Linked DNA regions of Pelodiscus sinensis. The protein of the gene in region 1 purifies or fractionates together with the protein of each later gene. This does not show direct contact. Links are inferred from orthologs where the notes say so. Each region holds a gene or a part of one and is shown on either strand. Other genes may lie near its edges.

Region 1 (15,837 bases):
CCACACAGGGCAGCAAGCAGCTCCCCGAAAGCCAGTGTGTGCAGGAAGCTGGCTTTTAACAGGCTCCCTACACCTACCAGCTCCTGCCTCTGTATCAGCCCAGGCGCATCATTTACCTGCTTAAACTTTCACATCCCTACACCATAGAGCCTCTGAGCACCTTGCTTTCACCATTGTCATTACCCCCCAGCAACCCCTCTAGGGCCGTGCTAGCCTTCCTATTTTACAGCTGGGGAACTGAACCCAGGGAGCTGGGGTCACACAGGAAGTCGAGTGCAGCTGGGAATTGAATCCCAGCCTCCTGAGCTGAAGGCAGCAGGCTCCTGAAGGTCTAGAGCAGGGGTCTCCAAACTTTTCAGCCCGAGGGCCGCATTAACTATCAAACAGCAGTTCGGGGGCCGACTACACACTTGAGGTCCAAATAAAAAACAATCAAAACATGGATGTTGTTAATTATTTATTTAATATTATTTTATTCAGTTATTATTTAATAACACATTGATACACTACACATGAACACCTGTATTAGTGTGAATGGTGAAATTGTTTCCTGGATGCCAAAATAGCAGACATTTCTGGCTTTAGATTTGTTGTCCCTAACATCAACAGTGACCTGAGATTATCATCGGACAAGTTTGTTCTCAAATTGTTCTTCACGTATTTCATTCTTGAAAATGTTTGTTCACACAGGTATGTTGTTCCAAAGATTGAAAGGTACCTTGATGCAAAAGTTTTGACATTAGGAAAGTCTTCCTTGGGCAAAAACTGGTAAAAACCCACCAGTCCTATTTTGAACTTGTCCCTAAGGAGGTCATTTGCTTGCAACTCAATGACTTCCAGCTGCAGTTCATCTGGGCAACTGGCCACATCTGCTTCAAATGGGTTTTGAAACAATCTCACTTCTTCTGCCTTTGAATCCAAAAAGGTCTCCACGGGCCGGATGAGAGGGCCTCGCGGGCCGCATCCGGCCCCCGGGCCGTAGTTTGGAGACCCCTGGTCTAGAGCATCCTTCTTTCAGGGGGAAAGGCTGACCTGAGGTGGGCAGAGTTTTTCTCCCGCCTTGCGGGCTGTTTTTGTAAGTTTCGGGAAGTAGTTAAATCTCGGCGGGTAGGGAGGAGGAAAGCCAATTTACTTTTAACTTAACTTGGTTTTGGTTAATTCGGAGCCAGTGGTGCAAGTCTCGCTTACCCTGGGGGGGCTGCCGTCCCAGCTGAACCACTTGTGTGAGTAGGGGATCCTCTCAAGTTCACCCCTCAAAATAGGCTGGAAGCAGCGGGGAGCGTTTCACCCCACGGTGAGTCAAGGACACACAGTCGGGCAGATTGCATCAAATCCTGAGCCAGGTTCTGATACCTGGCTCGTACACCTTGCTGCACAGCTGGTCCCAGAGAAGTTGATGGGATGATTTTTGGATAGGGGCCTTGGCTTCCTGGTGTGTGCGTCTACGCTGGAAATTGGGGTGATGTGCTCATGCTGGTTTTGAGCCCGTTAGCACGCTGGGAATGGCAGCCATGGTTGCACAGATGGTGGGAAGGGCTAGTGGATCTGGGTATGTATGGGTCATATTCAGGGAGGCTAGCCCAGCCCACCGCTCACACCCCCATGGTGCTGCTTGTAGCAGAGGGGAAAAGGGTGTGTTCTTGGCTCCGTTTGGCTCACCCAAGCTGGGACGTGAGACAAGACAAGGCAGTGGGTCGAGTTGAACCCCAGGCTCGTCTCTGACACGGTCTGCTCAGGGCTGGCCTTACCATGAGGTGAACTGAGGTGGCCGCCTCAGGTGCCAGACTGGGGGAGGCACCACTAGTTCACACTTTTTGAACAAGGCATTTTAAGTTGTTAGTTCTCCTTTATTGGGATATCAGGGGGTAGCCGAGTTAGTCGGTTACAGAAAAAAACCAGCAAGCAAATGGTCTGGTAGCACTTTATAGACAAACAAAACATGTAGAACAGGAAGGAGGCAGAACTGAGACCTTTCAAAGTTTTGGCCCAAGCGAGGGGACATGGGGGCATCATTTGAGCTCCTCACCTCAGGTGCCAAAATGTTGTGGGCTGGCCCTGAGTCTGCTGGCTTGTGCTAGAACTGCTGCTGCTTAGGGTTGCCAGGTGTCCAGTTTTCTACCAGACAGTTCGGTATTTGCACCGTCTGTCCAGTAGGAAAATTCAGAAAATACCGGACACGTGCAATGTGTGGTATTTTCTGAATTCCCGTCTGGATGCTGGATGGAAGCCTGGCAGGGGCGGGGGAGAAACTGGGAGGCAGGGCCACGATTGGCTCTAGGAGCCTATGGTTGCGTGCAAAAGCCGGGCAGGGCGGGGGCCAGGACTCCCAGCCACTCCCCCCGCCCGGATTCTATGCACAACCAGAGGCTCCCAGCGCCAATCGCGGCCCCGCCTCCCCGCTGGGAACCTCTGGTTGTGTGCAGAAGCTGGGCGGGGGCAGAGGCTCCCAGCACCTCCCCCTCCCCCTCCTCCTGTCTAGCCCCCGGACCCCCCCCGCCAGCTCTGCCTCCCACCCCCCATCCCCCCTTCCTCCTGTCTAGCCCCCGGACCCTCCCCGCCAGCTCTGCCTCCCACCCCCCATCCCCCCTTCCTCCTGTCTAGCCCCCGGACCCCCCCCCCCACCAGCTCTGCTTCCCACCCCCCCATTCCCCGCTTCCTCCCGTCTAGCCCCGCAGCCCCCGGACCTCCCCCCGCCAGCTCTGCTTCCCGCCCCACCCCCTCCCGGCTGGTTCTGCCCCCCCCCCCCCCCGCCCACGACCAAGTGCATCCAGTATTTTGGTGGGGTCTACCTGGCAACCCTAGCTGCCTTGCCTTTGCTAGAATTTGAACTGGGGCTGGCTAACGTGTGTTAAGGACACGACTTTGTCGGCAGTGAAGACAAGGCCTAAGAGACGATTCACTGGGATCATGGTCTCAGAGTCTGCTCCTCCATTGTAATTCAGCCCTCACAGACGATGCCCTGCTCACTTCAGTGACAGCTTCTCAGGTGGAGCGAGGCCTGCTCTTTGCTGGGCTCGTAGAAGACCACTGAGAAACTAACGCCCACTCGGCCCGGGGCTGAGGCTCTACAGTGGGAGGGAAGAGAGATTCCCACCTAGCCATTGGCCCACTCTTTGTGTTTTAATGCCTACGTCACAACGAGACGCTTCCCTTCAGAGAGGGAAGCAGAAATCTGGCCTGTTCTCACAGCACCCCCTGAGGGTACGTCTACACTGCAAGCTTATTTAGGAAAAAGCTATTCCGGAAGATATCTTCCAGAATAGCTTATTTCGAAATAGAGCGTCCACACTGCAGGGAAGCCTCAAAATTAGCCCGAGGCCGGCTCCCCTAATGCGGACGCTCTATTTGGATAGAGCCCCAGGAGACACGAGGGAGGAATAACTTTAGAATGGCCCCAGGGAGGGGCTATTTTGACATAGCAGCGAGGCGTCCCCACCCCTCCTTCCAAAAAAGCTTTTTCAGAAGAGGCCTCACTCCTCACAGAATGGGGTTGACCAGCGTTGGAAAAAGCCCCCCCGTTATTTCGATTTTCTTTTGAAATAACGCAATTGCAGTGTGGACGCTAGTATTGTTTTTCCGGAATAACGGCCGTTATTCCAGAAAACCGGTGCAGTGTGGATGCACCCTGAGGTGAGCAAGTGCTGCCTGAGTAAGGCAGCAAGGGGCAAGCTAGGCCAGTGAGTGGGCCGCAGGAGTAGCCCTCCTTCACCTCAGCGGGCTACAAGGTTGTGGTAAAAACCTGAGTCCTGTGAGCTGGGGTTGCCAAATTTCTAAGGGCCCAAAACCAAAGACCTTTGTTCCGCCCCCTTGCGCCATTCCCCCTCCCTTCTCCGTCCCTCCCTTTCTGCAATCTGGCTTTGGGGGTTGGGGGAGGGAAGGGGTGAGGGCTGCAGCTAGGGGTGCAGGCTGTGGGGAGGGCAGGGGCTGGGAATGAGGAACTGGGATAAGGGAGGGGGCTCTGAACTGAGGCTCAGGGGTTCGGAGTGTGGGTGAGGGTGTGGGCCCTGGGAGGGAGTTTGGGTGCGGGAGGGAGTTTGGGTCCAGGAGGGGCTCCGGGCTGGGGCCGAGAGGTTCAGGGTGCAGAGAGGGACTGAGATAGGGGTCTGGGGTACGGGGTGTGTGCAGTGTCTGGGCAGCGCTTACCTAAGATGGCACCCAGGAAACGGCCTACAGGTCCATGCGGGGAGCGATGGAAGCGCCACGTGCCCATAGGCACAGCTCCTCCTGCAACTCCATTGGCTGGAGTTCCCGGACATTGCCAGTTGCAGAACTGGTGCTTGGGGTAGCGGTAGAGTGTGGAGCCCCCCTGAACATCTGCACCTAGGAGCTGCAGGGATCTGGGAGCCATGCAGACCCACTTTGAGGTCCCAACCCACAGCTTAGGAGGAGGGATAGCTCAGTGGTTTGAGCATTGGCCTGCTAAGTCCATGGTTGTAAGTTCAATCTTTGAAGGGGCCATTTAGGGATCTGGGGCAAATCTATCAGGGAGGGTACTTGGTCCTGCCATGAGGGCAGGGGACTATACTTGATGACTTCTCCAGGTCCCTTCCAGCTCTATGAGGTGTGTGTATATATATATATATTTAGAGAGAGAGAGGTAACCATTGGACTGGATAATCTAATGGTCTTGTGTGGCTTTAAACTCTATGACTAGCATCCTGCTTGGTGGCTAGGATTCCCCTAGGGGCAATGGCAACACAGAGAATCAAAAATAATACACCGATGGTTCAAGGGTTAACAGCAACTTACTGGGAAAAAATGTAGGTGTCACAGAGAATACCTCACTGCAGACCTCAGCTTGGTTGTGTTGTGTTTTTGGGCCGTAGGCCATGCTGGGTGCTATCATACATAAATAAAAGCAATCTGGCGCGGTGGTCAAAACATCAGCTAAGAAAACTAAGAAACTTCAGCGCTGAGAAGACCAAGGACGGTGAGGGAAGTGTTAGAATCCATTAGTGGTGCGATTTCACCTGGAATACTCTGGCATTTGCCACTTCATCTACAAACAGCAGCAACAGAAGTAGGAAAGATCCAGACAGGCCCAAGTCCTTAGCTGGCTGTTAGTACCTGTGAGGGAGCCTAAATGCTGTAATCAAGTCGCCTCTTGATCTTCTTTCTGATATAAATCCAAGGGCCCAATTCAGCCCATCTCTAAGCTTTAGCTATCTTGGCTTTGTCTCTACTAGCATTTTTCTCTCCCCCCCCATGACTATAGCTGACGTGCCTGACTTATGATGTTATGGGAGTTCCGGTTCTCTGCACTGCTTTCTCTGCAGTGTTTATACATTGCCTAGGAACGATAAGTGACCAAGGAATGATGTCCAGTGCTCATCAGTATATGAAATCCACAGAGCGTGCCAAAGCTCCCCCATCACATCTCTAGATCCACACATCATCTGGAAATGGCCCTGTGATTTGCAATTGCACTACAAAGAAAGAGCACCTGGATGGGCTCACATAACTGGCCTATGTGTATGTACTTGTCAGGCATGACGGAGTTATTTAGGGACATTTTTACAGCGTTTCTCACTGAGGTCGCTGGTTGCCTCACAAATTCAGCCTCACAGCCTCCCTTGGTAAGGTACAACACTCCTCCGCTTGTAGGTGGAGAAACTGAAGCGCAGAGAAGTGACTGACACAACTGGCCCAAGTCACACAGGAAGAGATGACTAAGGAATGGCACTTAGATCTGATTCAGAAGAAAACTCCTGAGCTTTAGCTATTACACCTTCCCCCTAGCTCCTATACCTGGCATAGCTCAGATCCCTAAAGGCGTGGGGATCTTGGGGGTGCAGGAGTGAGGAGGGACTCTGGGCAGTGGACTGGGTGTGTGGAGAGGAGAGGACCAAAGTCCCCACCCCCTGTCAAGATTTGTACCAGGTCTGCTTGCTCTTCCCCGTCCTGGCCCTGTCAGGAAGTTAGAGCAAAGTACACAGCTTGTCTGCCCCCTGCACTCCCAGCTGGAGTGAGGACTGTGGACTTTCCCCTTGCTCCCTAATGTAGGGGAACAGCCAGCAATGTCCCTGTATGAATCTGGGGGAGAGCTTCAGCCCCCACCTCTCCGAAAGGGCATTTGGGGGTGGAAGGCTCAGAGCTGGGGCAGTCCTATATTGGAGGGGGGTTGCATCCCCAGCCAGCCCCTTTCACGTACTTGGTGATTGTACCTCTTTTCTGTTTGGTTTTCTGAGAAGCAATCCCATTCCAGGCACATCCCACTTTTCTGGCACAACCAAACCCTTACGTTGCTGTAAGTTTGGTAAGAGGAAACTGTATACCAAATTTGGTGGTCCTAGCTCTTATAGTGTAAGAGGATTTCTTGAACAAACAGACAAACACTCTGGGGTAGATAGTAGATATACTAATAATATTTCACACTTATGACTCATCTTTGCACGTGTACATTGGTTTCCTCATCTTATAAGTACAGCTACTCTTTGCTCCCCAGGTAGAAGAAGGTGTGCTTGGGACCAAAAATTGTAAACAGATGTGGTTATTTGTTTTTTTAATCTGGGATTCTGACAAATTACATTTCTCCAGGAAAAATTTCATATTCCTTGGCATGTTTAGTTTTTCAATTAACTTTCCAAATAAAAACTTTGTTTTAGAATTCTTCCTCATATTTTTTTACATTTCTCTTTTTTTCCAGTGGGAAAAAAGCGGGGAGGGAGATGTTTTTAAAAAGAAGAGAAAGTGGGATTTAGACATACACAATCGCATGAAAACATTTCAGAACAATTTTAAAAAACATAATTTTCTGTAGACATTTTTGCCCCCAAAATGAGTAAAAATTCAAATTAAACAGAAAATATGTAATTAAAAACAGTGAACAAAACATCCTTTTGTTCACCAGCTCACTCTGAAAATATTATTCCTCATGCTTCTTTATGTGCTGTTAGATAAGCATTGAGCTTTCAGGGCATTCATGTAGCTGCAGATAAGCAGAGCAGATTTAGATTAAATCTCAAGGGAAAACTTCCTAACTGTAAGACCAGTAGGACAATGGAACAGAGGCCTCACTGGAAGTTTTGAAAGAGGAAACTGGATAGACCACTGTTTTGGGTGGTTTAGACTCATCAAGCCTGTGTCTTGGCACTAGGGGTACGTCTAAATTACATGGCTCCATTGATGGAGCCATGTAGATTTGTTTGTTCGGCAAAGGGAAATGAAGCCACGATTTAAATAATCATGGCTTCATTTAAATTTAAATGGCTGCCCCGCTCTGCCGATCAACTGTTTGTCGGCAGATCGGGGCAGTCTGGACGCTCCCCTGCCGACATGAAAGCCCTTTATCGACCTCCCCGGTAAACCTCATCCTACGAGGCATAACGAGGAGGTCGATAAAGGGCTTTCAGGTCGGTGTGGGAGCATCCAGACTAGCACGCTGAGCCAACAAACAGCTGATCAGCTGTTTGTCGGCTCAGAGTGGCAGCCATTTAAATTTAAATGAAGACGCGATTATTTAAATCGCAGCTTCATTTCCCTTTGCCGATCAGCCTAATCTACATGGCTCCATCGAGGGAGCCATGTAGTTTAGACACACCCTGGATGACTTAGTCCCTTCTACTATGGGCGGTGGGTGAGCGTAAGGTTGGGGGAAGCAAGCTCCCAGCTTCACCCCTTCTGCCCAAAGCCTCCCTGGAATGTGTCCCCAGCCTCCCTGGCCCCGGAGCTGCCCCAGCATCCGCAGTCTCAGCATGGCTGAAGCCCGTGGGCAGCAACACTCCACCCCCAGAATGCCTACTGCTTCAGCATGGCTCCACGTTGGCATTCTGGTGGCCCAGTGTGGGTGAGGCCAAGCCTGGTAGTGTGGGAAGGCAACATCTTCCCATGCCTCTTATACCTGCCGGCCCTGCCATCTCGCCCAATCATTCTATGCTTACTGACTTCCAAGAGTCCTGGTGAAGCTTCATGATTAGCCTTGCTAAAATGCCTTGGATGAAAGCCACTGGGGCTGGGATCCTTAATGGGACAGAGCCCTTTCTCTACTACTAGTGGGACTGTGCCAATGCTACTGCAATGGCAGGCGACTACGCAATGTGCCAGAAGAGCCAAGACTTCCATCCGCAGTGTGAATCCCGCCAGGTTGGTGATAATCAACCCAGCTAGTAGCTGCTAAGTGGGGTTTCAAGGCAATTTGTACTGGGGAGCTGCTCTCATCACAGGAAACCACCAGCATGACTCACAGTTCTTGCCTCCCTCCCATCACAGAGAGACCCAGGACAACAAAATAAAGGCTCATAGCGACTTGGAGCCAGGTAAAAGTCTGAGTTGAGGTTTTGAGCAGCCGGGGGAAGCTTGTACTGCGGCTACCTGTGCTGTACCTGTTCGGTGGATGAACAGAGTTTATTTATTCTTCCAGTGTCCACAATCTGCCAGCAAACACAGCAGGGATGGTGCCACAGGACAGGCAGGGAGGGAGGGAGCATACTTGGGGTATCCTATGCTCCCTCCCTCGGACTGGGGACAGAGCATACTTACAACCTGGCTCCTGCCCACCAGGGGGTGAAGCAGAAGGGTAGACACCTGCAGGGGAGGAACCAGCACCAAAGGAGAGAGGCAGGGCAAGTTTGTAGAGGGAGGTGTTAGGAGAGAGGATGAGGCGGGGTAGCTCACGTGATCAGAGTGGGGCTACTGGAGGAGTGGGCACAAGGGGGAGAGAAGGGCTGGTGGAGGGGGGCAGGTTGCAGGAGCGCTGAGGGCAGTGAGAAGGGCAGTGCCACTGTGGCCCCCAAGTTATTAATAAATATTTTTAAACCTTAACCTTTTCTCTCTGCTGCCATGTCTCCTCCCCTTGTTCCATCAGCTCCCCTGGTGCCTGCTACTTCCCACCCCAACTCCTCACCCTCCTCTGCTGTCATCCAAACAAGCCACATGAACTCAGTACTGGTGCACAACACAAAATTCATTCTGCTCATGGGAGGAAACTCTTAGGCTATTTCTACACTGGCGGCTTCTTGCACAAGAACATCTTGCGTAAGGGTTCTAGTGCAAGATCTCTTGTGCAAGCACGTCTACAGTGCCATGTGCGAGCTGTGCCATTTTAGCCATAGGGGTTTCTTGCGCAAGAAATCCCTGCCAAGCATCCACACTGCCCTCTTGCGCAAGAGAGCTTACACTTGTTAGAAAAGAGCATAGCTCTTGCGCAAGACGCCCTCTCTTACCACGCCGTACTGTAAATTTCCTTGCGCAAGAGCAGGCAGGCAGTGTGGCTGCTCTGTGGGTTCTTGCACAAGAACAGCTGTACTTGTGCAAGAAGCCGCGAGCGTAGACAGAGCCTTAGAGGGAACCCTTCCCCCAGCCTCTCTGCCCCGAGTTAATGTCACACACATTGGGTTAATGCAACTGCAGGATAGTTGCATGCGGGCGGTTTGGTGGGGGCCAATCTAATCCCTGTTGGTAGGCGGATGGTGGGAAAAGCTCTTGGAGAGGAGTGACATGACATCTTTTACTTCTGGTCATGTGTCCATCTTGCCCCCTCTGTGTTACCGCCAGAGGCATGGCTAAAAGGGGGGGGGTCAGAGGCGTGGCTAAGGGGGTGTAAGGGGGCGTGGCTAACAGGGCACGGGGGCGTGGCTAATGGGGCACCACCAAAAATTATACAAGCCCATGCATGGCAGGACCTGGGGCATTTGGCTCAGTGCCTTTGCCCCTAGCCACTGGGGCAGTTGGTTTGGTGCTTGGAAACTGGCTTGGTTCCCGGCTGGGTCCCGATCTCAGCCTGCCGGGCTGGGGTCCCTCCTCCTCCGGCCGCAGCGCGGGGATGGGGGGCGCGGTGGGAGGGACCCCGCGTCTGGGGCCACAGCTGCTAGACCCCCCCCCCCCCCCGCGTACCGCCCCGGGGCAGGGCTGGGCGGGGCGGCGCTGGCTCTTTAAGGGGCTGGGCCGTGGCCGGCTGGCGCGTCACTCGCAGCAGGTAGGAGCCTCCCCCGAGCCAGCCAGCGAGCAGCCGCCGCCGCCCGAGCCCTGCGGGGAGCAGCCGCGGGAGGCCCGGCCATGGGGAAGGTGCAGCTCTTCGAGATCCGCCTGAGCGAGAGCCGGGTCGTCTACAGCCCCGGGGAGCCGCTGGCCGGCAGCGTCACCGTGCGCCTCTCCGGGAGCCTGCAGTACCGCGGTGAGCTTCCCCGCCGCAGTGCCGCCCCCCCCCGTATCCCCGGGCAGCGGGCCCCCTCTGCCCCGAACAGCGTGCTCCTAGGGCTGCGAGCTTCCCCGCCGCAGTGCCGCCCCCCCCCCCCTATCCCCGGGCGGCGGGACCCCTCTGCCCCGAACAGCGTGCTCCTAGGGCTGCGAGCTTCCCTGCCGCAGTGCCGCCCCCCCCCCCCCGTATCCCCGGGCAGCGGGCCCCCTCTGCCCCGAACAGCGTGCTCCTGGAGCTGCGAGCTTCCCCGCCGCAGTGCCGCCCCCCCCCGTATCCCCGGGCAGCGGGACCCCTCTGCCCCGAACAGCGTGCTCCTGGAGCTGCGAGCTTCCCTGCCGCAGTGCCGTGCCTTTCTCCTCGCCCATTGCGTTTTTCCGGGTGCAGGACCCTAAGGCTGCGAGCTTGTCCGCCGCGGTACCTGCGCCCCTTACTTGGCCTCCCGGTACCGGAGCCTCACCGCTCGCAGGCTCCCCTGTTGCCCTCCGGGTCCATCCCTGCACTTAAAGGCTGAGCTCAGTGTGAACAGGTTGGGCCTCTGTAAACTGCTTCCCCTCCGCCCCCACGCCGCTTGACTAGAAGCTGCCTGCCTGGTGACTCGCAAGAGATGGATTTTCAGCGAAGTCTGCTGGGGGGGGGGGGGGGCAGTTTTGGAGGCATCCAGCCCATCCCCTCGCTGGTGGGGCTTTGTGTTGTTTCATCCCACCTCCTGTGGCTAGGACTTGGCCGCCCTCCTCCAGCCTCTCCTCCGTTCTCTTGCCTCCCTTTTCGTCTGGGGGTGGGGACGGAGGAGTTTCCCTTCTGCGTGTGGGGGGTTTTTTGTTTGGTTTTTTAAAAAATCTCTCACGGGCAGCACGAAGAGAACTTGCTCTAAGGGTAGGTGCGTGCTGGGACTCAGGATAGCTTTGGGGTGTTTAAGCATAGCCTGCGTTAGCAACAGTTTACTCACTGTCTGTCTCTCTCTGTTATTTCCCCTCCAGTTCATCTGAAGTGGGTTTTGCTGTTGATTCTGTATATTCTGCTTAGTCTCTAAGGTGCCAGGGGACCACATGTTGTTTCCCTGTGTATGTAATTTAATTTCTCTCCCACCTGGGTTTGGTGTGAGCTGTATCTGGACAAAGCAAAGGTGTGTGCGCATGCTCCCCTTTCAGACTTGGGCTGGAGAGCTGTTGCTAGGACCCTTCTCGATTTCAGGTGTTTCTGGCACGACTCTTAACAGCCTTTACTTGGGGGAAGGCACCTCGGATGCTGTAAACCAGGGGTGGGCAAAATGCAGGTCATGTCCAGCTTGCCAAGTCTTTGGATCCAGCCCGCCTGGACTCTCAGGCAGGCTGTCTGCCCGGTGCCTGTAGGCATGGCATCAGCTGGCCAATGGGAGCTGTGGTGAGCGTGCTGGGGGCAGGGGCCGCGCATTATGTCTCTCCTCCCCCATTCCCATATCCCCTCCTGGATCCTGCACCCCAAGTCACAACTCCCCCTCCTTCACCCAAACTTCCTTTCACACCCCACACTCTCTTCTGCTCCCCAGTCCCCTACCCTGGGCTCCCTTCTACACCCAACCTCTGGCCCAGACCTCACGCTCCCTCCATAGAAAAGTGCAGCTCCTTAATCACTTACCAAAATCTTGATGGAGAGCCACTCCAAGAATTCTTGCTCAGCCCTGCTATAAACCCTAAAACAGACATGTAGTGTTGACCCATCATCTAGCTGTGATCTTACTGGAGACGGACCTTGGCACAAGCAGTTAAGATCTGATTCTGAGCTTCCCCATAAAGTGTAGGGAATTCTTGGGGTTTGGAATGTAGGAAGTCCATGTACTCCAGTACTCCAGGGTCCATGTACTCCAGTACTGTCTCCAATATTGGCTGCAAAAAAATCCTACAGTACACTGAGAGAAACTGTCCTCTGCCCATTTCTCCCTCCTTCTCCTCCCCTCCTCCCACCACTAGACCTCTTCCTTTTAGCTAAGATCGGAAGCATGAAGTTTAATATCTGGGTGCTGGCTTGTTTCCAGTTTGTCCCAGCTTGTCGTAAGTCATAGCTAGCTGGGTTGGAGCACATGTTAATACTTGGTCCTAAGGTGGCATCTCTCTGTGTTTAGAGGCCAAACTATTGTGGAAAATACTTGAACTGTGACCAAGTGTTGAACCCTGTTGTCATTGTAGCATGTGTATGGCAGGAGAGGCTAGGTTGTATGGCTATTTGCTCTGATTTCTGTTGTGTGTTTTAATTGTGACTGATTTATGGGTTTGCTTTAAGAGGTTACTGCATCATCCGCATGGAAGATGCTCAGTCAGAACTGTTGGAAGTGTGTGTGTCTTGCTTTACAGCCAATAGTTCTGTTACAGCCCCATGTAAGGGAGTGGGGAAAGAGGCTGTGTATAGGGACCTTGCAGAGAATAGTCTCCTGCTCTCCCCCCCCCCCCCCAAAAAAAAACCCCAACCTAACTGCTTAGTCAAACATGAGATTAAAGAGATGACAAATTGAGTAGCTTAGAGACAAAGCCCATGGCTGGGTCCAGAGGATCCTCGCTCTTCCACTGCCCGTGCTGTTCAGTCTATGTGGCTTCCAAGTTGCAGTGGCCTCTGAAGACCTCTGTAGAAGCAGCTCCCTTGGTGAAGAGCTCATGCTCCAGTGTGCGGTGAAAGTCCCACTTCAGCATCTTCCCTTGGGACCAGTTGGGCTTTGACTAATAAACGAGAATCAGGCCTGTTGCTGTCTGGAGGCTCCTGATGTGTGACTTGGCCTCATTTCTCCCCTCTCCTTTCCCAGACAGCGGTGATGGGGGTAGGCAGCGTGGTGTTTGTGCTAGGCCCACTGGCTATAGTTGAGGAAGAGCCCTGAGTGCAGCTGCACCTCACTAATAAATTAACTACCACAAAACTCTTCTTAGAGTCAGTGAATCCTGTACTGTGTGTGCACTGGATTGCGGCCGATTGTAAGACTTTGACTTAGACTGGTCATTTTCAGAGAAGGATTCCAAACTCTAAGGCCCTGTCTATCCTGGGGGGACTCCTAAAACTTTTTTAAAAAGGAATTTAAACCCCTTCCTGTCATTAATGCTAAGTCAGCTGTGCTGATGTTAGCGACCTGCAGACACCATGGAATGGAACAGTTAGTGATGCAATGTTACCTCGGAGAACTTCCTTAGTATAAAACAGAGCTTCATCCTATAATCTATAGGCTAGAAGGAATGGTTAATTGGATGGGGGTTGGAATATGTGAGCTTGGTTCTTAACTCTGCTACAGGCTTCCTGTGTGACTCTTGTCAGTACCTGTTTCTCCTCTTTGTGAAGTATTAGCATCTCTCCCCCCCCCCCCCTTCATTGTTTGTTTGCAAAGAGCTTTGATCGCCCGCATGATACAGAAATGCAAATTATTCTTTCTTGCTTTTTCCCTTAAGTCTGAGTCTCTTTTCCTCTCCCCCCCCCCCCCCTCTCCCCCTTCCTATTCTCCTGGCTGCTGTCTTTGAATCTTGGGACTGTTTCCAAGTATTTAGATTCTTAGTCCTTCTGGTCAGGGGCCTTGTTCTGTGACCTTGTCTAGAAAACAGAGTTGCTGTAGACTTGAAGCAAGTATGCCTGTCTCATTTTAAAACTCCTCTCCCATTGGACCTTGGTGTTTTTCTTTTTTTCTTTTTCTGGCTTCTGAAAAAGCTATTGTACAGAAATAGTTAGAGGCTCGGTGATGATGTGTTTACATCCACTCTCATTAGGAAATGCTACTTTCAGCATGAGACTTCTAATGCAGTAGCCACTAGGGATGTTAAAATGCATTTCTTTGTGTAAATGTGTATCGCTGACATTTTTCAGCAGATAAGTTTACATGTGAGGTGGGGGCAGCAAAGCCAGCTCCCTTCCTCCCCCTGCTCCATATCGCTTCTGTAATAGAGCTGGGAGGTGGAAGAGGAAGTGCAGAGGGATTTTTGCAGAAGCTGGTTCCCTGCATGTATCGGCTCCCACCTTCCCCCTGCACTTCTGCCTCTGACACAAAGGTGCTATGGGGAAGTGGAGGGAGAGGAGGATTGTGTGTAACCGAGAGGGTTATTGGTTAACCCTGTTCTCAGCTACATGGTCACATCCCCAATAACCTCTGACTGCTCCCCCCTTCTCCCCCATCTTCTCTCTTCCTGAGAACCTACTCCCGCAAACAGGGCAGAGCCGTAGCATCAGGGTTCTGTCGAACTAGTCCAACGAGCCCTGATGCATTATTGGCCAACTGAGGTAACCATGGTTACCCCAGGCTACTGACTCTACTGTCGGCACGTGGAGCCGCCATTAGCAACGAGACTTTCTGCAGAAGTTTTCTCCCTTTGCCTTCCGTCAGGGTTTCCTTTGCCCCATAGAACAGAGCTCAAAGGTTCTATGACCCCTTGTTTGGAAAAAGTGCCCCCCAGCCCCCAGTTGTACTGTTTTTTTTTTTTTAAGGCCTTGAGCATGGGCGGTGGGTGAAGGCACCTCTGGGGGAGGCAAGCCCATAGCCCCTCCTCCAGCCCCACCCCTTCTTCTGAGGCCATGCCCCTTCCCTGCCCCCATGGGGAGCCAGGACAGCACGCTGTGTACGTGCTCCCCTCCCAGTCACAGGAGAGCAGGGCAGGGCCGGCCTTAGGCTGATTCGCCTGATTTCCCCCGAATCGGGCCCCATGTCCTGAACCCAGAAGTGTGCCAGGCGCCAAGCGAGTTACTATTCAGAGCTGGGGCCCTGCTCCAGCAATATTTGGAGCTGGGTCTCTCCCCCGGCTCTGCCTGGAGCGAGCCCGGGCCCCCACCTGCCGGCCCCCCCACGCATGAACCCACCCCACCCCCAGAGCATCCCCCTGAACCCCGTCCCTGCCATGCGCGGCTCTCGGTGCGGCTCCCCTTTGCTGGCGGCAGCTGCTGCTGCCATGTGCAGTGTTCTCAGGTGGACGGGGGGGACGCCCGGGCATGATGTGACATTACGGCCCGGGAATTTAAAAGTGCTCGGCGTGGCGTGGCTTAGCAGCTCTGGGTTTGGAGTGCAGGGCCTGAGTGTAGAGTCCAGGGCCTGCAAAGTGGAAGGCAGAAGGTAGGGGAGAGGGAAAACTAGGGGGAGCGGGGGGGGGGGGAAAGAGGAAGGGACCAAGAGACAGGGTGGAGGAGAAACAAATGCCAGGGGGGCAAGTGCAGGGAAAAGGGCAGGAGGGGAGGTGTCAGTGGGAGGGGGGGGACGACAGGGTGATGCTGGAGAAGGGAAGGGCATTGGGGGCTGGAGAGGGAGTTGCTGGGAGAAGGCTTGAAAGAAGGAGTGGGCATGAGAGGTGGGGATGGAGCAAGTTGTGTATGAGAGCACAGAAGGGCAGGAGGAGAATGGGGGCAGAGAGTGGTGAGGGGGGTGGGCATCAGGGAAAAAGGGGGCAGGATAGTAAGGGAAGGGGGAGGCACCAGGAGGGTGCCAGGCTAAGAGAGAGTGCAGGTGCCAGGGAATTCTGGGGGTGAAGCAGAAGGGCAGACACCTGCAGGGGAGGGACCAGCACCAGAGGAAAGAGGCAGGGCAGGTGTGTGGAGGGAGGTGTTAGAAGAGGGGATGAGTAGGGGTAGCTCCCATGATTAGAGTGGGGCTACTGGAGGAGTGGGCACAGTGGGGAGAGAAGGGCTAGTGGAGGGGGGTAGGTCCAGGAGGGCTGAGGGCAGTGAGAAGGGCAGGAGTCAGGACAGCAGAGGAGGGTGAGGAGTTGAGGGGGCAG
Region 2 (15,342 bases), on another chromosome or scaffold:
TCTGGGCCCCAATAGGCTCTGGGGTGGGGCCAAGAATGAGGGGTTAAGTGTGTGGGACAGGGCTGCCAGTCAATGGGATAGGGATGGGAGTGCAGGATCTGGGCAGGAGGAGAGGGGTAAGGGGGCGAGGTCTGGTCGGGGCAGACTACTTGGGTAGGGAGCAGGAGTGGGTTGGGATCAGGCGGCCTGGCTAAGGGGGATTCTGGCCAGGGAACTGGGGGCAGAGGTGTTTGGCTGGCGGGGTGGGGGGCAGCGAGTGAGGATGCTGGGGTCTGGGCATAGGGCACTTACTTGTGTTCGTGCTGCATGGGAGGTACCATGTAACACGGCCTCCCCGTTCCCATTCCCTAGAAGCCCGCAGTAAGTATTTGCAGGGGAAGCTTCCAGAGAAGTGTTTCCTAGGGGACAGAAAAGGGCAGTGCACATGGAGCCATTTTTCTCTGTTTCCTGCATGCTGAGGGAGGGAAAAGAGCAGTGCACCCAGACACGTTTTGCTCCACTTGTTCCCTGCATGCCAGATCCAATGGGAAGGATCAGGGCTTTTTTCCCCCCTGCAGGAAGCCAGCACTGGCATTCCAGTCTTGCTGGGGCCAAAGGCTGTAGCAGCAGTGCTGGCTCCCTACAATGGGGGGAGCTGTGGAGTGGGGCTAAGCTGGGGCTCCAGAAGAGCCCTAGTGAGCCATATTTGACTTCCAAGCCATAGGTTGCCAACTCCTGCTATAGACTGTGCCAAGTGTCTCACCGCACTCAGTCCTAAACACCTCGGCTGTGTCTACACTGGCACCCTTTCCGGAAAAGGGATGCTAATGAGACACTTCGGAATTGCAAATTCCACGGGGGATTTAAACATCCCCCGCGGCATTTGCATGAACATGGCTGCCGCTTTTTTCCGGCTCGGGGTTTTGCTGGAGAAAAGCGCCAGTCTAGACGGGATCTTGCGGAAAATAAGCCCTTTTCCGGAAGATCCCTTATTCCTACTTTCAAGTAGGGCTTATTTTCCGCAAGATCCCGTCTAGACTGGCGCTTTTCTCTGGCAAAACCCCGAGCTGGAAAAAAGAGGCAGCCATGTTCATGCAAATGCCGCGGGGGATATTTAAATCCCCCGTAGAATTTGCAATTCTGAATTGTCTCATTAGCATCCCTTTTCCGGAAAGGGTGCCAATGTAGACACAGCCTTCAAGTCAAGTGCTTATTGTGTTCTTGTTTAAAAGAAATAATAGGCTGCATACACTACAGAGCAGAATGACAAGTTGCAAATACTGTAAAAATTAAAGCAGATTTAATAACTATTTAAATACAAAATCAGCATATTAGATATCTCTACAAAGCAATCACACACACACACACACACACACACACACACTCTCTCTCTCTCTCTCTCTCTCTCTCTCTCTCTCTCTACTCTACTGGCTTATATCTGTGATAATCTGGCCTGCGGAAAGGACTTGCCCCTGCCCACTAATCAGTAAAAGAATGGCTCACTGGTAAGCAACACCTCCTACTAAAGGAAACTGGATGTAGCAGTCTCCCTGGCTGCTGGACGGTACCTCATAGCATCTCTTTCCAGCTAAAGGGAAGTGTGTTTTCTGGTATTAAGAGTTATCCATACAGTTCACTAGATCAGACTGGTGCAGTGGGAGGTAAAGCAGTCAGTGCCACTCTAACTTAGTTTGGGCTTCCAAACTAGTCCTTGGGCTACAGTTAGCAGAGATACACTCACTACTTATGCTGACCTGAGAGGACTAAGAGAGGCGAACAGGGCTGTGGAACAAAATCCCATACATAGGCTCATTTTAACCTGTCATTAAGTGAGGTGAGATGCAGAAACTCAGCTTACCACTGTTAGGTTGGGAAGAGGAACAAGGTATTGAAAACTTAGGAATTTCAGCAACATAATAGGATAAGGCCACTGAAGTTAATTAAAGATACCTATCCGCTTTATTAGGTTTCCAAATCAAGTTCTTTATCACTAAGGGATTTTCACTGACATCAATGGCAAAATGCTGAGTAACAGCACTAGTGGCAGGAGCAGGCCCTGGCAGCTGTCATACAATCCTAAGGACAGTATAAATTAAAATGGATGAGATGATTATTTGCTAAGCTCCAGCAATATGCTTGGCCCTGTACACATCACAGAGGAAGGCATAGCCTCTGACTCACAGAGTTTCAAACTAGCCCCACAGAAACAAATGGATCAGAGAACTGGAGGAAGCCTAGCAAACAGCTCTTCAATTATTAAATTTAAAAAACTAGGGCTGTGTCTACATTGGCACCCTTTTCGGAAAAGGGATGCTAATGAGAAGTCGGAATTGCAAATGCCGAGGGGGATTTAAATATCCACCGCAGCATTTGCATGAACATGGCTGCCGCTTTTTTCCGGCTCGGGGCTTTGCCGGAGAAAAGCGCCAGTCTAGACGGGATCTTGCGGAAAATAAAGCCTTTTCTGAAAGATCCTTTATTCCTCTTAAAATCAGGAATAAGGGATCTTCTGGAAAAGGCTTTAATTTCCGAAAGATCCCATCTAGACTGACGCTTTTCTCCGGCAAAGCCCCGAGCCAGAATAAAGCGGCAGCCATGTTCATGCAAATGCTGCGGTGGATATTTAAATCCCCTGCGGCATTTGCAATTCCGAAGTGTCCCATTAGCATCCCTTTTCTGGAAAAGGGTGCCAATGTAGACACAGCCTAGGTGTATAACAGCACATCTGATGTAGCTGGGTTACAGTATAAGGGTCTTAAGGGAATCTGAGTTACTCTTAAGTGTGCATTAATTGAACAGTGCATGAAAATTGTTTGCTTCCATATAATAAGATGAATAGTTAAAGTCTTAACACTGCAAGTACTGGGCTGTGTCTACACTGGCATGAATTTCCGGAAATGCTTAAAATACTATTCCCTTTTCAGTTTTTCCGGAAAAGGAGCGTCTACATTTCGTGATCGGGGCTTTTTTCCGGCAAAGACTACTGGGCTGTCTACACTGGCCCTTTTCCGGAACAGTGTTCCGGAATAAGGACTTATGCCCGAGCAGGAGCAGAATAGTTTTTCCGGAATAGCAGCTGATTTTGTACAGTAGAGCATCGTTGCTTTTCCAGAAATTCAAGGGCCAGTGTAGACAGCTCGCAGCTTATTCCGGAAAAGCGGCTGATTTTCCGGAATAAGTGGCCCAGTGTAGACACAGTCCTGGTGTATAGCACCTGTTTTGACCACCTCCTGGCCCTTTAGGCTACTTGTTCCAAGGTGCAGCAGAATTAAATCTATTAAATCGCAGACTACCAATAGTGCAAGGTGTTCTAGCTGGCAGCCTGTCACACCCATACGAAGCTGTTTCCAGCAACAGAGCCTTAAGCAAAGCCAGGGCTCCTGCAACTTCCACAGAGCATTGTCCTCCTATGATTCACAGGTCTGTGACTCCTTTTATTGCTACTAACGGTAGCTGTTCCCATGAGCTAAAAAGGGTTCCTCAATGTACTGGTCAGACAACCATCAGTATCCAACAGTAGACAATTGTCCTGTTTCAGTAAGTTTACCATTGCTAGTCTACAAATCCAGCACACCAACCTGGATAAGCAGAACCGCAGCACTGCAATCCTAGCTCTCAATAATAATGAATCCTGCTCACTTTACAGGGTCATTCTAACCAGCTACCCACCTATGAGCTGCTAAAACACAAATGAAAGATGTGACTGGAGACAAAAATCTAGCACATAAATGGGACTTGTACAAGAAGCTTTAGAGAGGAATAATTTCTTTGCTATAAACTATGTTTTTGCTAATCTTGGTTCCATGATGAAACATTTAAAGAAACTAGTCAGATTCAGAGACCATGCTAGGATGGGGGAAATGGAAATCTGCATTACAAAATGATACATGCTAACAAATGTCAGACAGGTGAGACTTGTTAGCTAAGGTGAACTGGAGTACATAAAACCTGTCTGCACTGATCTCCCATCAGCCAGCCAGAAAATGTTAATTTTATTTGGAGGGTCTTCCTCTTTGATACAGAGTAGATCCAGTACATATAGGATCTCAGCTTATACCCACTCAGAAATCTTCTGAAATATGCAGATACCTATAGATCAAGATGCTTCAATCTTAGTTTTTCCAGCATGTGAAGATCTGATCTGAACTGTGGCACTCACAGGTGCAGGGTGGTATGGCACTTAGAATCTCCTGGGTTACATGACATCACTTCCTGTCTAGCTCAGCCTGGTACTTCCTGGAGATGAATTTGAGCTGCTGTTTTGTCTCCCAGCGATTCACAGAGGCTTGGGTAGGGAGTTTCACAGTCTTTTCCTTTTCCATCTGTTAGAGGACAGGGTACTGGATGAAAGCTGATCCCTGTTTCTCTCACCAGCAGAAAATACAGAGATTGCAGCAGCTCAAGATACCATCTTTACAGCCAAATCAGATAGATAATGTGAAAGTAGAAAGAATTATACTGTAAGAGAAAGATGAATTATGCTGTAATAATTGAATAAGTTGAAGGAATACTGTTTGTCTCTGAACAGGAAGAAGAAAAGTATGTTAATGTTTGTTGTTTGTAGGTATGCAGATCAGAGTGCTAGCCAGAGTTAATAGGAAAAGGAACATTAGGTGTTAGGGAGAAAGCAATTGAGATAACCAAGGAGATATGGACAGGAGATTGCTGTGTGTTTGATGTGGAAATGAAGATACTTGACTAGCCTCACACTAATTATGTGAAGTTTTGCCCCTCTTTTTAATCCTGTTAATTTTGGCTTTCTTTTGACTGTATAAATCAAGGGGTTTGAACCTTGTATGGCACTCGCATTTTCTGGGTGCATTTAGCAGAGCGGCTTTGCTAATAAACAGAGCGCTCTGACAAATCTGTGAGTCCTGTCTGACTTTGACAATTTGGAGGTTCCACCGAGATGGCAACCGTCTTCGCTGAGGCTGTGTGATCTCTGACTGTCTTGCAGGATGACCGTGGCAGCCGGCACCTGGGCATTTGGCCCGAGCGGTCCTCTGCCAGAATGGAAAGGTGCACAACCACAGCGAAGTCTACGCCATCGAACCTGTTGGTTCCCGCTCTGTTCTGGTAGGGATCCAGGGATCTAACATCAGGACTCTGGTCAGGTAATTATTTCTATGTTTTGTCCGGACTGAGGACTGTCTTGTCTCTGTGTCTATCCGTCTTCCCTGTGGTGTGAGTGAGTCTGGGAGCCATCCCTGGCCGGGGACTGGCTGACCAAGGGGCTCCTGTCCCCGCGGTCTGTGTGACTGGAATCTGCACAATCGCAGCCGCACCGCACCTTGGATAAAATCCTTGGAGTGAACGCAAGGGCGATTGAGGCAGTAGCCTGTGGGCTTCTTTTGTGTGTTGCACTGGGCACCGCTCTGACGAACCCAAATCTCCTCCTTGTGTGATTGGTGTGTGAAGTCCTCCTGTATGGGTAACCAGACGTCTAAGCGGGGGCAGTTCCCTAAAGGGACCCCGGCTCAGTTTATATATTTTAGAAAGGGTCTGGACCCCTGTACATTTCTGGAAAAATGATCTAGATTGACTCTGGGGGATCCCAAAACTCAGTGGCTACTGTTAGGATCTTGGAACAAAGACCAAGTGGACGTCTTAAAAGACAAACTTGGCCTTCCCAAAACTAAATTGGCTAGAGGAGAGGTAGATTGCTTCATGCAGTGGTGGGACGAGGCAAATCTTAGATGGACTGAATCGAAGCTTGCCTCCCTAAAAAATTCTAATTGTAAGTAAAAAGCTTTATTGGAAACCTCCTCTCCCACCACCAGACCAAGTGCTTCCCTTTACCCCATCCTCCGAGAAGACTCAGACCGGTCCCACTTGGAGCTATAAACCCTGGACCCACACGGAGTTCCACTCAATTGTAAAAGGTTTTCCAAAGCCCCAGGAAAACCCTACCAAATTCGCAGAATCCTCTGAAGCAGACCTCCTGCAACTGTGTAAGCTACTTATAACCCCTAGCAAGCAAGCAAAAAAAAATGGCTCCTGATAGCAAATTGGCTCACCACTGAGCATCATTCTAATTTGCCAGACACTGGTCCTGACGCTGCCTACTGGAACAAATGTAAGAATCAAGGTAAGTGCCTGCATGAGGCCATTCCCCAAGTATGGACTCCAAAAACCAATTGGACGGCCATACATTGCCGTAAACAGCAACAGAGAGAAAACCCGGGCAACTATCACACAGACTGACTGATGGTTTTTTTTTCCTGCAACATTCTGGTATACAGCGACCGGGTGAAAATGGACAGGGCGCCCTGGCGCATGCGTTTGTTATTGGCCTCCTATCTGCTATTAGCAGTATGTTAAAGCAAATAAGTGTTGGACGGGAGGCCAAGACTATGGACAAATTGCAAGCAGTGGCAGAGCATTGCCACCAAACTCTAAGGCTGTGTCTAGACTACATGCCTCTGTCGGCAAAGACAGGCAAAGGCAAATGAAGCCGCGATTTAAATGATTGTGGCTTCATTTACATTTACATGGCTGCTGCGCTGAGCCGACAAACAGCTGATCAGCTGTTTGTCGGCTCACGCGCTAGTCTGGACGTTCCCCCTGCCGACATCAAAGCCTTTTGTCGGCAGCCCCGTTATGTATGGCACTCGCATTTTCTGGGTGCATTTAGCAGAGCGGCTTTGCTAATAAACAGAGCAGTTTGACAAATGTGTGAGTCCTGTCTTTGACAATAGCTATCTGGAATTTGCACAGCTTTAACAAAGGTTATGACATCTCCATACAAAGCAAAGTAAGGAGAACTGGCTGTACAGAATTGTGTGTCAGGAGGGGAATGGCAGCAGTCATGCAGAAGAGCAAGAGAGGAAGGCATGCAACAGCTACTAGTTTTCAATACAGGTGTTTTTTGGAGGTAGGGAGTTCACTCAGACTTGAAATATAGTTGAAAAGGAGCAGGATAAGGAAGTGGAGAGAAAGGGGCTCCCTTGTTCATCTTCTGTGCCCACCTGGCCCTAGTAGGTTAATTAAATGTCATTTGTCATATGCACATCATGTGAAACAGCACCAGGCAGTGAGAGAACAAAGGCTAATTAGTATTTTTCTGACCCAAAATGATGCTAGTTGGGCTGAGAAAGATGTGGGATGATGGGAACTGAAGAAAATAAACAGGGCTTCAGAAACCAAAGTTCTGATGGTCTCCTTTAACTTTTTAAAGAAGCGAGATAGAAAAGATGGGGAAAGTTTGGTCTGAGGCCTTCTCCTTTGAGGAGGGGAAGTTTTGTTTTGTAGTACACATGACTTCCAAATCTCACAATGGGGCAGAGTTTTCTTACAGTGCTTCAGAGATTGTTTCCTACCCATGTTCTATGCATCCAAACAGAACAAGTTTGGCTTTCTTCTAGTACTGCCACTCATCTCTGCACAGGAAACTTCTGTTACAGTGCCTTGCTATTACCTTGACTTCAGCAAGTACCAGCATAGTCTGCCCTGCAACATCACTGCCTGGCTGTACTAATATCTTTGTTCCTCACATACACAGGAAACTCTACTACAGGCTGTTTGTTCCCTGTTCTTCATCCTCTCATTAATTACCTCTTTGCCATAGTTCCCTTCACTGGGAATATTCTGCTGTTTGTTTTTCATTAGCTCTAGCTGCAGGCTGTCAAACTTAGATTTGAACCAGCGGTGAGCTTCCTCCAGGTTAGCAGTGATCTGAGGGAGAGAGTAGTGATTAGAGTCAGAAAGAGAACTGTGAGCATTTCAAACTTCTGGGCTCCACAGTGGACAGGCAGGATTCCAAATACAGGCTTCTTTTAAATCTCCCATGTCTATGTAAGTGTAGAGCAAATTACTTGAGCATCCTCGCCTCCTTCCTGCAACATCATAGAGGATGTGGAAAGGTCCACCCTGCAGTGCTGTCCCCCCTTAACTCACTAAGCCTCTCATTAGCACTAGCCCAAGAGAAGACAATTCTAACTGGAGGGAAAAGCATCAAGAACGTGGTAGAGGAAGAGTATAAAATGGAGGCTAACTACAGCAACCCACTGAAGAAACATGGGAGAGCATGGTCTTTGCTTGGTAATGTGCGGGTACCAGCCTCATTTAAAGAAAAAATATTGTAAAATTACCATTCCAACTATGTTAGCAATTTATTTCAAGAACTCTTATTAAGTATAATCCTATAATACTCTTGCTGCTACCAAGAGTAGAGTTTGAATTGAAAGGTCCTTTGCTACTTACTCCCTTACCTATATTGCACACCTCCCTTGTAAAATAACTACAGTACTCTACAATTTGGAACCAAATCACTGTAGTAACACTCCTGAAAGGTACTGTGCTTTGGACTATTACTGTGCAATACTGTCAGCTTTCAATAAGCAAAGAGGTGCATAGGTGAAATATGAATCACCTTGTAAGAGAAGCTGTTTAATGTCATTCAAAATGGTACAACACAACAGCTCACATACTGCTTAATGGTGATGACAGTGCAGGTTGACATAAGCCATTGAACCAGGTGGAAACTAATAAAAAGAACTTCTTCTTACTGGCCCAACTCAACTATGATCATTTGTGTACCAGGCTATTAAGAGCTCTAATAGAAGAGACTGGAAAAACATCAGTCAATTGCCATGAGGAGAAATAAACTGTTTTTTGGGTCATGCACTGAGGGCCCCTAAGTGTTAAGAGCAGGCCTTTGATGAGGTGGAAAGTAAAGTACAGTCACAGATCTTGTCATCCTAAAGGAAGGATAATTCTAGCTTTGTACCAGATGATAGATATCTTCTTTCCCACCATTGTACTCACCTGTTCTGATTCTACACTGGCTTCTTTCAGTTTCTGCTCAGTTTCCTCTTTGCATTTCTTCAAGTGTTTGACTGTATCTTCTAGCTTCTGGAGAGAGAAAAGTAACAACCCCATGCAGGCAACAACACAAACCACTTCTGTATAACAAAATGAGCAGGAATATAGACTGGAAACTTCAGTAGAATAACTCCCAGCCCAATAGGTGAAATATTACAATGTTCTAATAAGCAGCTATATAAGGCCCCTTGGAATAGGAAATCACGAGCACCCTCCATCAGCAATAGGACCCTACAGATGTGGCCGGGCAACATGTTCAGAGGCAATACATATTCCTCTCCCCTGGACTGGATCATTCAGCACAGATCATGCTGTATGTCCAAGGCTGGATTTTACCTGACACTGGTTCTCTAGTTGCTGCCGCACTTTCTGCTCCATTTCCAGCTGCGTCTCCAGCTGCCTGTTCTGTGTCGCCACTTCATGCTGATTTTTGGCCAAGGTCTGCATATCACTCTGAAGACTTGTTAACTCGGTCATGAATTTCTGGATGCTTAGTGCCTAGAGATGGCATAAAAATGAGATCTCAGTGACTTCATGCAGATTCTACTTTTACAGAGAGGGGAAGTTGTATAGTGGGCCCTACCTGCTCATAGTTTTTCTTCTGATACTGCTCCTTGATCAGCTCCATTTGCTTCAGCTCAGATTCAATCTCCTGAAAATAATTTTAAATTAAATCAGGAGGCTCCAGTGAAATAGCATCATGTGACAGAGCTTGAGCTGCTCCAAACCGCATCCTCACTATGTGACCGAGTAACATACACTCTGCTGGGATCAAGCAGGCAACAGTGACACTGAGCCCACCACAGAGAATCTTCATTAAGGCAGGGAGAGAGAGGCCCAAGCGCCCGGCATCAATGTACCCTGGAAGCTCAGCGCTTGAGTGGCCACCCAGGACAGATTCAAATACTGCCCAACTGATTGGCAGAGCGCCCACAGCATGTATTTCTACTGGGGAAGATCCACATCCGCACATGCAGCAGTGCACATAAAATTTATTCCGCATATGAACGGAAAAAATTAGAGGGAACCCATGGTACCCATGGGTTTTCTACTGGCTGGAAATAATTTGTTTATATGATGACATAAAGGCAGCCAGAAAATGCTGGCCCTTCCCTTCAGAATCATCCACTGGCAAAAATATGCCTTACCCAATCCAGTGAACTGGGAAACAAATGGCTGCCATGAAGTGATCCACTGAGCTGTAGAATGACTCCATAGGAAAACCAATATGTAATGTAGAAGGAAAAGAAACAGGCCAAGCTTTTACTGACAAATTCAGACTCCTATTGACACCATGGTGTATCCTGTATCCTGGCCCTATTGCACAGGTCCAGCAGTAGCACTTCCAATTCTGGGAAGAGATTGTGTAAGAACAGGGTTATTCAGAGTGAAGAAGTATCTGCACAAACCTTTATCTTCTGTGTGTTCTGGATGTTGTTAGCCTTGGAGGTCATGTATTGTCTGATTTGAGACATTTGGCTCTTTAGCTTCCCCTTGTAATTGACCAATGACTTTTCCAATTCCATTACTTTCTGCCGCAGCTCCCTATTAGCTCGGGACACTTCAGCAGACTTGGAAGAAGCCTCTTCAAGGGCTTTCTTTAGCTAGGAGGCATGCAGAAGAGGTTAGTTCATGTTCACTCCAAAAAATGTCTAGCTAGGGTAATCAATGACATGTATTTCTTATGAACATCATGAGGAAGAGTGCCCAGTTCCCTATTTAGAAGGTGATGAGGTAGATGGTAAGTTGGATCTTTCAGTTATTCAGAGGGAATGAAAGACTGCACAGCTTAACCTCTTGTGTTTCTGAATACTTCTTTGGTCAGAGGACACAATTATAGAAAGAATACAGCTCACGACAGACCAAAGAAGCAGAGACTGCTGTTATCCTGCCACTTCTCTCCCATATGTCATTTTTTTATCACAAGGATTTTGTACTCTTTGGAGGCTGTAATCAAACATCGTATAACCTTCATACTACATAGTCTTTTGGTCCTTCCTGGAAACCATATTCTAATTAATCTTTGGTTGTATTCCCCTCTAGATCCTATGGAATAAGTAAGGTTTTCACACAAAAAGGGGGGGGGGACAGACATGATAAATCCATCACTAACTATGCTACGCCACCAGAACATCACGTCGTCCACTGCAGGCCAAAACTCTCTGTGTTGCTCTCAAATGATACTGCAGCACAAAAGGGAAACAAGCAGTATCATGGATCACTCTTGTTTTCTTATTATTGGGAAGTAGAGCTCTTCTCAGGAAACTGGCCAAAGAAGGAATCTTGCAATTCTGCTCCATCTCACCTCAGCAGATTCCCTGTAATTTGCTTTCCTTGTAGCCTCTCGCTCAGTCTGAAACTGCTTCTTCAGGGCCTCCAAGCGTTCAGTATACACCTTTTCTTCCATCTTGGCTTCTTCAATAAGCTGCTCCCTTTATGGAAAGAAGAAAGAGACTCTCAAGGAAATAAACCATACGGAGTGAATTAGTAAACAATACAAGTGGAAAAACCTGGCCACCAAAAAAAAAAAATTAAAAAAAATGGGGGGGGGGGGAGGAAGCAGGAAAAAGTGATGGTTCTGCTTGGGTGGATTCATTTGGCCACATTATGTTTGTCAAGAGCCTGCGACTTTTAAAACATTTCAGTCTGTTCATTCAATTGCAGGTTCAGCCACAATCCGTTCCTCAACAGCAGCTCCAAACAGCAATTCAAGATAGATTCTCCCTGCATGAGAGAAGCTGTCCTAGCATGTGGCTACTCTAAGCCAGCCAGCAGAGTTCACCCAGGAGAATGAGGCAGACTGCTCCAACTCAAAGCCTTTCTCATTGCTAAGGAAACCATGAAGGATTTCCATCGGCAAGCAGCCTGCGGTTTCCAGGAGGCAGACTTCTTCCCTGCTTCCATTCCCTGATGGCAGTAAAGGGCCAAGAGCCATATTGCAAGTCTGTCAGTGATAAGTGCTGCCAGCTATGCAGGCATGTCACTCACTCAAACAGCAGCATAGTGCTCCTCTGGACTGTTCAACACACACAGCCCAGAGGAAAGACTAGGTTCTATTTGCAGCCTTCTAACACTGCAGAGGAGCCTGGAGAAGTCACAACATCAGAAGGCAACCAGCTCATTCATGTGGCTTTGCACTATCAATCCACCAAGCTACTGGCTCAACACCCATGCCATGAAGATTGTTTCGGCAGCCGACAAACGGATGGAAAGGACCACAAGCTCTGCAGTTAGAAATGGAAAAGCAAAGTGTTCCTCAGCCACAGCACCTTGCACTTGTTCTTACCTGCAGGCCATCAATTGCTGATGCTCAATTTCTTTTCTGTCCAGTTCTTCCCGAGTATGTATCAGCTTGCTCTGCAGGGTACTATTGGCCTGCAGAGCTTGTTCCAAACTCAAAGCAAGTTTCTTGTTATCCGCTCTAGCGACATCTAGTGCTTTACAAAGTGGATCCACCTCAGGGGTAAAGAGAGAGAAAGAGAGAGAGAAATCTTATTTATATTTTAGGCATGTTGGAAGGGCATAACAAATGGGTTTTTCAGGGGTCTGTTTTGGGACTGGTTCTGTTCAATATCTTCATCAGGGATTTAGATGATGGCATAGAGAGTACACTTATTAAGTTTCCAGATGATACCAAGCTGGGAGGGATTGCAAGTGCTTCTAGGGTAGGGTCATAATTCAAAATGATCTGGACAAATGGGAGAAATGGTCAGAGGTAAACAGGATGAAGTTTAATAAGAACAAATGCAAAGTACTCCACTTAGGAAGGAACAATCAGTTTCACACATACAGAATGGGAAGTGACTGTCTAGGAAGAAGTACTGCAGAAAGGCATCTAGGGGTCATAGCAGACCACAAGCTAAATACAAGTCAATAGTGTGATACTGCTGCAAAAAAAGCAAACATGATTCTGGGATGCATTAACAGGAGTGTTGTGAGCAAGAGATGAGAAGTCATTCTTCCAGTCTACTGTGCACTGATTAGGCCTCAGTTGGAGTACTATGTCCATTTGTGGGTGACACATTTCAAGAAAGATGTGGAGAAATTGGAGAAGGTTCAGAGAAAAGCAACAAAAATGATTAAAGGTCTAGAGTACATGACCTACAAGGGAAGACTGAAAGAACTGAGCTTTTTTGGTTTAGAAAAGAAAAGACCGAGAGGGGACACTATAGTAGTTTTCAAGTATCCAAAAGGGTTATACGAGGAGGAGGAAGAAAAATTGTCCTCCTTGGCCTCTGATGATAAGACAAGAAGCAATGGACTTAAATTGCAGCAAGAGAGGTTTAGGTTGGACATTAGAAAAAACTTCCTAACTGTGAGGGTGATTAAACATTGGAATAAATTGCCCAGGGAGATTGTGGAATCTCCAACATTGGAGATATTTAAGAGCAGGTTGGATAGACATCTATCAGGGATGATCTACACCATGCTTGATCCTGCTGTGAGGGTAGGGGACTGGATCTGATGATCTCCCAAGGTTCCTTCCAGTTCTAGTATTCTACGATTCTAGTTAGTTGAATGAAAAGAACTTGTATAAACATCCCTTCCCTCACCACCTCTCCAGTAAGAACACAAGGGATCTCCCCCAGTCAGCATCAGTTTGCTGGACTGGAACTCTGGCCAACAGCTGCCCACAATTGGTAGTTAGTAAGCAGAGACTGCAAACACACTATTTGTATTTGCTAGAGAGAAATCCTCAGAGTGTGTTTCAGAAAACCAAGATTCACACACTGCTTTGCATCTAGGCTCCACAAGACATCAAGCTTTCTTCCAAAATGAAGGCTCCCCATGGTAGGCATAAGCTTTGGCCTGCTCTGCCTACATTACAGACAAAAGTATCTTTAAGTATTAAAACAAAACAGGTTTTAAACACAGTGATCTCTCCTGGTATAGACATTGGCCAAGAGATGCCTCCAGCAAAAAAAGAAGACTAGACTAAATATTTCTAAGATTAAAAGCAAGCAGCAATGTCCTCCTGCTCCCACTAAAAAGAGAAGTAAAAAAGAGAATAACATGAAGAAGAAAATAAGATACAGGTTCTATAAACCAGAACTCTTTGGTCCAGCAACATCTCCTGGATGTTCCAGGATCAGAGTCCTGGCTCACTGCGAGAGGTATGTGTGGCTACATCTAGACTGCAGCACTTTTCCGGGATACCACAGGTATCAGATTGCTTAAAGATTGCTTATCCAAGCAATGGGACAACTTTTCTGAAAAAAATTTCGGAAAAGCGGATGTGCCCTTTTTCCATCCCTGTAAACCTCATTCTACGAGGCATAAGGGATGTGTCTAAAGAGGTTTTTCTGAAATTTGGCGCTATGTAGATGCAACAAATTTCAGAAAAGCCTCTTTCGAAAGAAGATTGGAAAAAGATACATAATTTGCATACTGCAAATTGTGTATCTTTTTCTGATTTAACTCTGCAGTCTACATGTAGCCTGTCTGTGGAATGGGACTGGGAGCCTGGCACAGAGCTCGACTGGGCTGAGGGAGCAGAGCTGGGCGGGCCTGCATAAAGCCCAGCTGGATTGTGGAGAGGAGGTGGGAAACCCAGTGCACATGACCGAGCTGGGCTGCCAGGGGAGTCGGGAAGCCCAGTGGGGTGGCAGGGCAGGAGGATGGGCCAGGAGCAGGGGAGCCAGAAATGACCTTCCCCTGATCTGGCCAAATCCGTCATCTGGGGACCAATCACGTCCCAAGGGTGCTGGACCAAGGAGGTCCAACCTGTATTCATGGGAAAGAAATACAAATTTTAGAATTTTTTTCACATTCACTGTTGCCATTTGAAGACTGCTGGAAGTTTATCTTTCACAAGGCATTTGGTGGCAGTAAAACTTCCTTGCTAAATATCCATAAAATTATGTACCCCAACGTTGACAGATTTTTGCCTTGTAAGCTTCCCAGCAGGTATTCCCCCACATTCCATCGTCCAAAAAAGGAGGATAGATCAGTATCACAGAACTAATCCAATCTCTTATAACTGGAAAAACTTGGTCTCTACCTGACTATTGTGCTGAGAGTCTATGACAAGCAGTTTGGCTTGGCACTGTTCCAATTCTGCCTCTAGCCTCTGGATTTTTTGTTGGCTCTGGGTCCTGCAAACAACAAGAGGAGAGAGTAAAGATCAAGAGGCATGATTAACAGTAAAGCCCACCTATGTATTCATTCCTCTTCCCTCTAGGGTAGAGGCCACCTCACAGTTTAGTTTTCTACCTTCAAAGTATTTGTTTTTCACTATGACAAATTAAAATTCAGGTGGCTGGCAGGCTTCACTGGTTCACATCACGGCTGTAATTATGTGTCCTGCCAACTACTTATTCTAAAACTTTATTTTACAACTAACACTGAGTCTTCAAACATATGAAGGAAAGTGTTGCAAATTCTCAGAGATCTTTGACCAATGAGGTTTTGGGCCAGGAGGTTAACTACTCAAACTAGAATAAAACACACACACAAAACCACCCCTAATAAATTGTGTCCACACAGGAAATGCGGCAACCTTTCCTTGTGCTAATCCAGTTAGATAACAAGGAAAGGTAA

Evidence for each region.
Region 2: the proteins of ARRDC1 (region 1) and HECW2 purify together in Homo sapiens (affinity purification with mass spectrometry; 3 studies listed by BioGRID and IntAct, counting the BioPlex papers as one, with this or other methods). This does not show direct contact. The link is inferred for Pelodiscus sinensis from reciprocal best matches to the Homo sapiens genes ARRDC1 and HECW2.

The regions. Positions count from the first base shown.
Region 1 is NC_134732.1:3,455,709-3,471,545, forward strand, and holds the start of ARRDC1 (arrestin domain-containing protein 1), read left to right. Parts: upstream 1-9,874; 5' UTR 9,875-9,993; coding exon 9,994-10,111; intron 10,112-15,837. UniProt on the Homo sapiens protein: Functions as an adapter recruiting ubiquitin-protein ligases to their specific substrates. Through an ubiquitination-dependent mechanism plays for instance a role in the incorporation of SLC11A2 into extracellular vesicles.
Region 2 is NC_134717.1:71,008,416-71,023,757, reverse strand, and holds the start of HECW2 (E3 ubiquitin-protein ligase HECW2), read left to right. Parts: upstream 1-4,437; 5' UTR 4,438-5,093; intron 5,094-7,533; coding exon of another isoform or gene 7,534-7,653; intron 7,654-8,745; coding exon of another isoform or gene 8,746-8,832; intron 8,833-9,138; coding exon of another isoform or gene 9,139-9,300; intron 9,301-9,385; coding exon of another isoform or gene 9,386-9,454; intron 9,455-10,211; coding exon of another isoform or gene 10,212-10,406; intron 10,407-11,107; coding exon of another isoform or gene 11,108-11,234; intron 11,235-12,088; coding exon of another isoform or gene 12,089-12,258; intron 12,259-14,803; coding exon of another isoform or gene 14,804-14,897; intron 14,898-15,342. Other genes in the region: CCDC150 (coiled-coil domain-containing protein 150), read right to left, coding at 4,185-4,301, 7,534-7,653, 8,746-8,832, 9,139-9,300, 9,386-9,454, 10,212-10,406, 11,108-11,234, 12,089-12,258 and 1 more. UniProt on the Homo sapiens protein: E3 ubiquitin-protein ligase that mediates ubiquitination of TP73. Acts to stabilize TP73 and enhance activation of transcription by TP73. Involved in the regulation of mitotic metaphase/anaphase transition.